2 linked regions of the Oryctolagus cuniculus genome follow. The protein of the gene in region 1 interacts with the protein of each later gene in a pairwise test. Links are inferred from orthologs where the notes say so. Each region holds a gene or a part of one and is shown in the gene's direction. Other genes may lie near its edges.

What was found. The genes of interacting proteins can lie anywhere in the genome.
Region 2: the proteins of MAD1L1 (region 1) and LGALSL interact in binary tests that used the Homo sapiens proteins (3 or more experiments, as listed by UniProt). The two-hybrid records come from large-scale screens. The link is inferred for Oryctolagus cuniculus from reciprocal best matches to the Homo sapiens genes MAD1L1 and LGALSL.

The regions. Positions count from the first base shown.
Region 1 is NC_091450.1:37,072,039-37,075,675, reverse strand, and holds part of MAD1L1 (mitotic spindle assembly checkpoint protein MAD1), read left to right. Parts: intron 1-2,172; coding exon 2,173-2,297; intron 2,298-2,745; coding exon 2,746-2,827; intron 2,828-3,637. UniProt on the Homo sapiens protein: Component of the spindle-assembly checkpoint that prevents the onset of anaphase until all chromosomes are properly aligned at the metaphase plate.
Region 2 is NC_091433.1:138,337,498-138,341,234, reverse strand, and holds the start of LGALSL (galectin-related protein), read left to right. Parts: upstream 1-1,226; 5' UTR 1,227-1,640; coding exon 1,641-1,676; intron 1,677-2,485; coding exon 2,486-2,557; intron 2,558-2,688; coding exon 2,689-2,777; intron 2,778-3,400; coding exon 3,401-3,578; intron 3,579-3,737. UniProt on the Homo sapiens protein: Does not bind lactose, and may not bind carbohydrates.

The DNA.
Region 1 (3,637 bases):
CCACGGAGGAGCTGCCGGGAGGCGCGGGGTGGTTGGCGTTCCGTCCCCACGCGCTCCTCGCGGCGGCCTGCAGGTTGTGTTTGCCTTGGCAGTGCCGGGGACGTGTTAAGGCTGTCCCCACGTCTGTCTGCTGAAGGGGCGCTGGCAGGAGGGGAGGCGTGGCCCGCGTCCAGAGAAGTCCGCTCCAGCCTCACACACTCGCCTGTTGCAGCTGTGGCCTGCAGTCCCCTGGGGAGGGCCGTCGGACACCTCTCAGTGAAGGGCAGAGGGGGCGGCCGTAGGCCTGATTGGGGCCCGTGGGGGGGCACCAGGACGTGGCTGCCGCTCCCCACCTGCCGGCCTGAGTGGCCTCCCCCAGGAGGCCCAGGAGGAAGTCCATGGCCTTCCCCGCCAGCTGTGTTCCTGCATCACAGTGCCCCTCAGGGGTCCCTGTCCACTTGCTGCCTGTCTGCTTGCTCCCGGTGCAGCCTCTGCGAGGCTGGGCTGCCTGTCCTTGTGCCCAGCGTGTGCGTGTCGCGTCCCGCGTCCCACGGGCCTCCAGAAGGGCATGCTCGTCGTCAGGTGTCTGACGCCTTTCTCCTTTGCTGGTTCCTGAGTCGGTCCCTTGCAGTGTGCTGAATGAGCGTGGGCGTGTCAGCCCCCAGTGTGTGCGTGTTGCGTCCCATTTCCCACAGGCCCGTGTCAGCCTCCAGCGTGTGCGTGTCGCGTCCCGTGTCCCACAGACCCGTGTTAGCCCCCAGCGTGTGCATGTCGCGTCCCATGTCCCATGGGCCCCGTGTCAGCCCCCAGTGTGTGCGTGTCACATCCCGCTTCCCACAGGCCCGTGTTAGCCCCCAGCGTGTGCGTGTCGCGTCCCATGTCCCACTGGCCCCATGTCAGCCCCCAGCGTGTGCGTGTCGTGTCCCGTGTCCCATGGGCCCTGTGTCAGCCTGTGCTCCTCGTCAGGTGTCTGACGCCTTTCTCCTTTGCTGGTTCCTGAGTCGGTCCCTTGCAGTGTGCTGAATGAGCGTGGGCGTGTCAGCCCCCAGTGTGTGCGTGTCACGTCCCGTGTCCCACAGGCCTGTGTCAGCCCCCAGCGTGTGTGTGTTGCGTCCCATGTCCCACTGGCCCCATGTCAGCCCCCAGCGTGTGCGTGTCGTGTCCCGTGTCCCACGGGCCCCGTGTCAGCCCCCAGCGTGTGCGTGTCGTGTCCCGTGTCCCACAGGCCCGTGTTAGCCCCCAGCGTGTGCATGTCGCGTCCCATGTCCCACTGGCCCCATGTCAGCCCCCAGCGTGTGCGTGTCGTGTCCCGTGTCCCATGGGCCCTGTGTGTCAGCCTGTGCTCCTCGTCAGGTGTCTGACACCTTTCTCCTTTGCTGGTTCCTGAGTCGGTCCCTTGCAGTGTGCTGAATGAGCGTGGGCGTGTCAGCCCCCAGCGTGTGTGTGTTGCGTCCCATTTCCCACAGGCCTGTGTCAGCCCCCAGTGGGCTGTGGGGTGAGAGGCACCCCGTGCGTTCCGTGGGTGAAGGCTGGGCACGGGCTCTCGGGGCCCTGCAGCCGAGTGCTGGGCCTGTTTACAGAGTGAGCCGCTTGGGGGGCTGCCCAGCTCCAGTCACTGTGGCGGGCTTGCTGTGTGGGTTCCCCGGGGGTTTCTGTGTGCCCATGTGTGTGACGCTTCTCAGTGGGCCGGCCTTTGTGCTGACTTGAGCCAGGAACGCGGTGTGGGAGGTCATCAGCAGGTCCCGGAGAGGCGCGAGGCACGCCAAGGGTGGCCCGGAGGGGCTAGCTGGACTGGCGGTCCTGGCGGTCCTGGCGGCTGCTGGCTGTGCTCGGGCCTGCCTCCCAGGTCCTGCCCGCTGCTCTCCAAGCCCTCCAAGTCCCCCCCCCCCCCCCCCCCCCCGCTGGCCTGGAGGTCAGCTCCCTCCTGTGTGGCGCTGCTGGGGTTGGAGGCTGAGCGCAGTGGGGATGCAGGGGTGTGTGCCAGGTGGACGCTGGGCCCTGGGCATGAAGGCCCGGCTCACCCTGGCTGACGCACTTCATGTTGCTGGAGGCCCTTGGCAGGCTGTCAGGCATGGGGTCCATCACGTGTGCCCCGGGCGTGGGTCTGTCCTCGCCCTGTTGCAGACAAGCCTCATCCCCTGACAAGCACTGGGACCAGCCTCGGTGAGCGGCTGCTGTGTCCCCTCTCCGCAGACCATCAACGCGTTGAAGGGCAGGGTCTCGGAGCTGCAGTGGAGCCTGACGGACCAGGAGAGGCAGCTGAAGCGCCTGGAGTCGGAGAAGCAGGAGCTGGGGGAGCAGCTGGAGCTGCGGCACAGGTGCGGGGGGGCCTGCCCCGGCTGCAGGAGGGGCTGGTGCCCAGACCTGGGGGCCCTGAGCCAGATCGCGCATGACGGCAGCCCGCTGGGACTCCTCAGTCAGGCCCGAGGTCATAGGGTGGGGAGGGCGCGTCCTGGGGCTGGGAACAAGCTGGGCAGAGGCCGGGCATGACCGGAGCTGAAGCAGGGGTGAGGGAGTGGTCAGTCCTGGGCAGCCCGCTGCAGCTGCCCCGGGGCAGGCAGATGGTGTGGGGTGAGCGGTGTTGGGAGTGGGGGACCTGGGGGGTCACAGCTGGGAAGGACCTCGTGGGTGGTCTGGGCTTGCCCACCCGCCCTGTGAGGTGAGGAGCTGGAGCCCAGGGTGCCGGGTGTCTTTGCAGGGGGAGCGTGTCTGGGGGCCAGGCAGGGGGTCGCTGGCTTCACCGCATGCCTTGTCGTCCTGTGACAGACAGTGGCAGGAAGCTAACCAGAAGATCCAGGAGCTGCAGGCCAGCCAGGAGGTGAAGGCCGACCAGGAACAGAAGATCAAGGTGAGCCTGCGTCACTGCCTGCAACGGGGCCGCGGCGTCCCCTGCTGGCGCAAGCCTGTCTGAGCTGGGCTGCGTGGTGGCCCTGAGCAGGCTATGTGTTGTAGCCCTGGGCTGTGTGGTGGCCCTGGGCTGGCTGTGGTGGCTCTGGGCTGGCTGTGGTGGTCCTGGGCTGTGTGTGGTGGCCCTGGGCTGGCTGTGGTGGCCCTGAGCTGGCTGTGGTGGCCCTGAGCTGGCTGTAGTGGCCCTGAGCTGTGTGTGGTGGCCCTGGGCTGTGTGTGGTGGCCCTGGGCTGTGTGGTGGTCCTGAGCTGGCTGTGGTGGCCCTGAGCTGGCTGTGGTGGCCCTGGGCTGTGGGTGGTGGCCCTGAGCTTTCTGTGGTGTCCCAGAGCTGGCTGTAGTGGCCCTGGGCTGGCTGTGGTGGCCCTGGGCTGTGTGTGGTGGCCCTAAGCTGGCTGTGGTGGCCCTGGGCTGTGTGGTGGCCCTGAGCTGGCTGTGGTGTCCCAGAGCTGGCTGTGGTGGCCCTGGGCTGTGTGTGGTGGCCCTGGGCTGTGGGTGGTGGCCCTGAGCTGGCCGTGGTGGCCCTGGGCTGTGTGTGGTGGCCCTGATCTGGCTGTGGTGTCCCTGAGCTGTGTGTGGTGGCCCTGAGCAGGCTGTGTGTGGTGGCCCTGAGCAGGCTGTGTGTGGTGGCCCTGGGCTGTGTGGTGGCCCTGAGCTGTGTGTGGTTGTCCTGAGCTGGCTGTGGAGGCCTTGGGCTGTGTGTGGTGGCCCTGAGCTGGCTCTGGTGGCCCTGGGCTGTGTGTGGTGGCCCTGA
Region 2 (3,737 bases), on another chromosome or scaffold:
ATTGTGTCACTCTTGACAAAGAACTACTGTAATGTGTTTCCCCCATACTGGACTCTGATACCGAGGTATACCAAAGCATGCTTCCCAAATCTCAAATGTCCTATAAACTGCCTTGCATTTTTCAATAATGCAGAAGCTGTGAGTTTGAGCTAAGACTGGTCAACAGGAGCAAAAACGTGAGCTGCCACCGGGCTGGCCTTAGACTCTCAGAGAATCACCTGCTCCAAGCCATGACTGCGAGGTGCAGCCGTGTGCAGGTCATTCTCCCTGCGCAACTGGAATTACCGCGGTTAGCTCTGGCCCATACGGGAACACTAAGACACACAGGCACAAGGAAGGCCTGGGCCACACAGCCAGCGCGAGCAGCTGGAAGGCAGCCTCCCGGGTCCCTGCGGGATCGCAGGTCACACAGGCTCCCTGCTAATTAGTGTAGACGCCCTGGTGATTCACACGGTGGAATGCTGAAGCCAAGGATGCCGCCTAATAGAGGGGCCGTTGATACGGCTTTATCTGTGAGGTTCCATAATCACCCTAGTGGGGAAATGCCATGCGCCATACAGGAGCGTGTGCCCTGTGCCCGGGAATAAAGGAGGAGTGCCCCGCCCCCGGAATTACTCTCCTACCGACAATAGGAGATGTGCAGGAAGAAACGCACTGCCCCAGACTGGGCCAGTGACTTGCTTAAACACAAACAAAAGCAGGGCCCGGTGGAGGCTCTCTGAGGACAGTCACCTCGTCCACTTTCACGTGCTGAGGCTTAGCCAGACGGCTGCCCCCACACCTGTCGGTCCTTCCACAAGGAATACAGAGGCCTGTTCTGTGTCCAGCCTCCTGGGATAGGAAAGTCCCTACCTGGAGTCCCCTCTGCCTCTTTCTTTTATTTCTGCAAGCATCGTTACCTGTCATCCTCTTTCCAGCCCTGAGCCCAGGAGGGGGCCTTTCCTCCCACTTTTGTCTGCATTCTCTGATGGAAATCACATCGAGTCTCCCGCGCCCCACCTGCCCCCACCCCGGGACGCTGCTGGAGAAGGCGGGACGGCGACGGTCTGGAGGCCGGAAGGGAGGGGCGGGGCTGTCCCCGGCACCTGTCACCTGGCAGTCCCCCCAGCCCCACCCGCCCTGCAGCACGCCCCGACTCGGACTGGCCCGGCCTCCAGCCACCGACCAATGGCCGAAGGGCAGGGCAAGCTGAGCAAGCCGCGGCAGCGCAGCCGGGTCCCCGCCCTGTTCCCGGTTCCCGAGCCGGGCGCCGGCGGCCTTTAAATGCCGCCTAGGGCCGGCGCGACTCGGCCCCTGCCACCTTTCTTCCTCGGGCGACGGCAGCACGGCCGCAGCGGCGCCAGCCCGGACTCGGCGGCAGCAGCCGCGCTCCGGGCAGCAGCCGCCACCTTCGACCTCCCGGCCCGCGCCGCCGCCCCTCCCCTCCCATCCCCTCCCCCTCCTCCCCAGGCCCTGCCAGCCCGGTCGGCGCCGGGCCCCCGGGCGTGCGCGCGCACCCGTGTGTGTGTGCGCGCCCGCGCCGCCTCGGACCCGCGCCTCCGCTCGGCGCACGGCCGCCCCGGGATCCCCGCCCGCGCGCCGCGTCCCGCGTCCCCCTTGCTCGGTCGCCTGCCGCGCGCCCGGCCGCGCCGTGCTAGAACATGGCGGGATCGGTGGCTGACAGTGATGCCGTGGTGGTGAGTGTGGCGGGGCGCACTCGAGGGCCCCCTTCCCGCCGCCCGCTCCCGCGCCAGCCGCGGCTGGGGCGGGGAGAAGCAGCAGGCCCGGCCCGGTGCCTCGCGCTTGGGAAGGCGACGGGTACCTGCGAGCCGGGGCCGGGGCCGGGGCCGGGGCCGTGCGCGACCGGTGGGGGGCGGGGGGCGGGGACGGCTCCCCGGCCGGAGACGCCGCGCGGGGAAGCGGTGAGGCGCGGGGAAGGTGCCGAGCGGGCCCCTCCGTGCGGGCAGCCCCGCACCAGGTGTGTGCGCGGGGCTGGCGTGAGTGCGCGCGGGGGAGTGTGTCCGGGGCGCGCGCCCCGCCACCAGTCCCGACGTCCCGGGGATTCCCCCTTGGAACCGGGCCCGCGCTGGGGGCTCCCGACAGAAGTTGAGCGCTGCCGCTGCACTTGGGCCGGGTCCCCTTCGCGGGCCCGGGCTACAGCGGTTTCTGGAGCGTTTGCGGTTGGAGTCGGGCATGCCCACCTCCAGAGGGGGCCCTGGCCTCCCCCTCCCCCGCGGTGGGCCTCGACCTGGATTTGGATCCGGATCTGAAGGGTCTGCGGCTCGGCAGAGGCTTAGCCACCGGGAGGAGGGGGACGGGTTTTGTTCCGGGGGCTTAGGCGGTTACTTAATGGACGTAGGAAGAGGCATCGCCCGCAGACACTGCCTGTGCGTCTGGGCAGGGCTGCGGGGCTCGGCTGGCTTTGTAGAGGTGCTGGCCTCGCTCTCCCGCCCCCAGCCCAAGGAAAGGGCCGGTGGAGAGCCAATCTGTGTGCTTCTATTTTTAGAAACTAGATGATGGGCACTTCAACAACTCCCTGGGCTCTCCGGTTCAAGCCGACGTGTACTTCCCACGACTGGTAAATGATTGCCCTCCTCCTGTGGTCTCTTCCGAAGTGTGTTTCCTAACGGGTCCGGTCCTCGGGACCTGAGGGCCTGGCTCTTTCCCAACCGGCTGCAAACTTCCTGTCTCTCCTCTCTTGCCTTGCAGATAGTTCCATTTTGTGGACACATTAAAGGTGGCATGAGACCGGGCAAGAAGGTGCTAGTGATGGGCATTGTGGACCTCAACCCAGAGAGGTAAGGGCGAGGCCTGGGCCCGGCAGAAGCCGCAGGCAGTGGCCAGGCCTGCGGGCTCGGTGCTGGGCCAGCGCTCGGCCCCTGCCTCTCCTCGTGGACAGTATTGCTGGTTGGGATGCCAAGAAAGTACCAAGTTCCCATGAAAAGAATGTGTATGAATCCCAGCCCTCCGTGCTGTAGACTGCTATTTATATCAGAGATGATAAATATAGGTCCCCGTTTCTCTCTGACCTTTAGGGAGGCCAGAGGATTTTTTTCTTTTTTCTTCTTCTTTTTTTTTTTTTTTTTATGGTTTTAAAACATGGTGCATGGAAAGCAAGAACTACCAATATAAATAAGAACCAAAACTGTACACGATGCTATTTCCCCTGGTCAGTCTCTGAGATGGATTAGGACCCAGATGTGTGGTGGCCTGGGGTATTTGAAGTCTCTAATTGTGGGCGTTTTCAACTCCACCAAAGTGGTCAGCAGAGTCTGCTGTAGAGAGCAGAGTTCCCCGGGGTGAGTGCCAGGGCTGTTGAAAGCAGAGAAAGCCAGAGGGGGGGGAGGAGGAGAAAGAGGAGGAGGAGGAGGAGGAGGACGGGGTCGCTGTGAGACGTCTTAGAGCCAGCTCTGCTTTTCAGCTTCGCCATCAGCCTGACCTGCGGGGACTCAGAAGACCCTCCTGCCGATGTGGCCATTGAACTCAAGGCTGTGTTCACGGACCGGCAGCTACTCCGAAACTCTTGCATATCGGGGGAGAGGGGAGAAGAGCAGTCGGCGATCCCTTACTTTCCGTTCATCCCGGACCAGCCGTTCAGGGTGAGTCCGAGTGCTTCAGGCCCAGCGGCTGGCACGGGGATGCTGTGCTGTGCTACTTAGCTGGTGCGTGCCAAGAGCAGCCAGGATTTCTGCATGTCCAGGAACTTTGCCGGGTGATGAAAGCAGATAGAAAAGTCAAAAGAGGCGTTTGCTGATAGA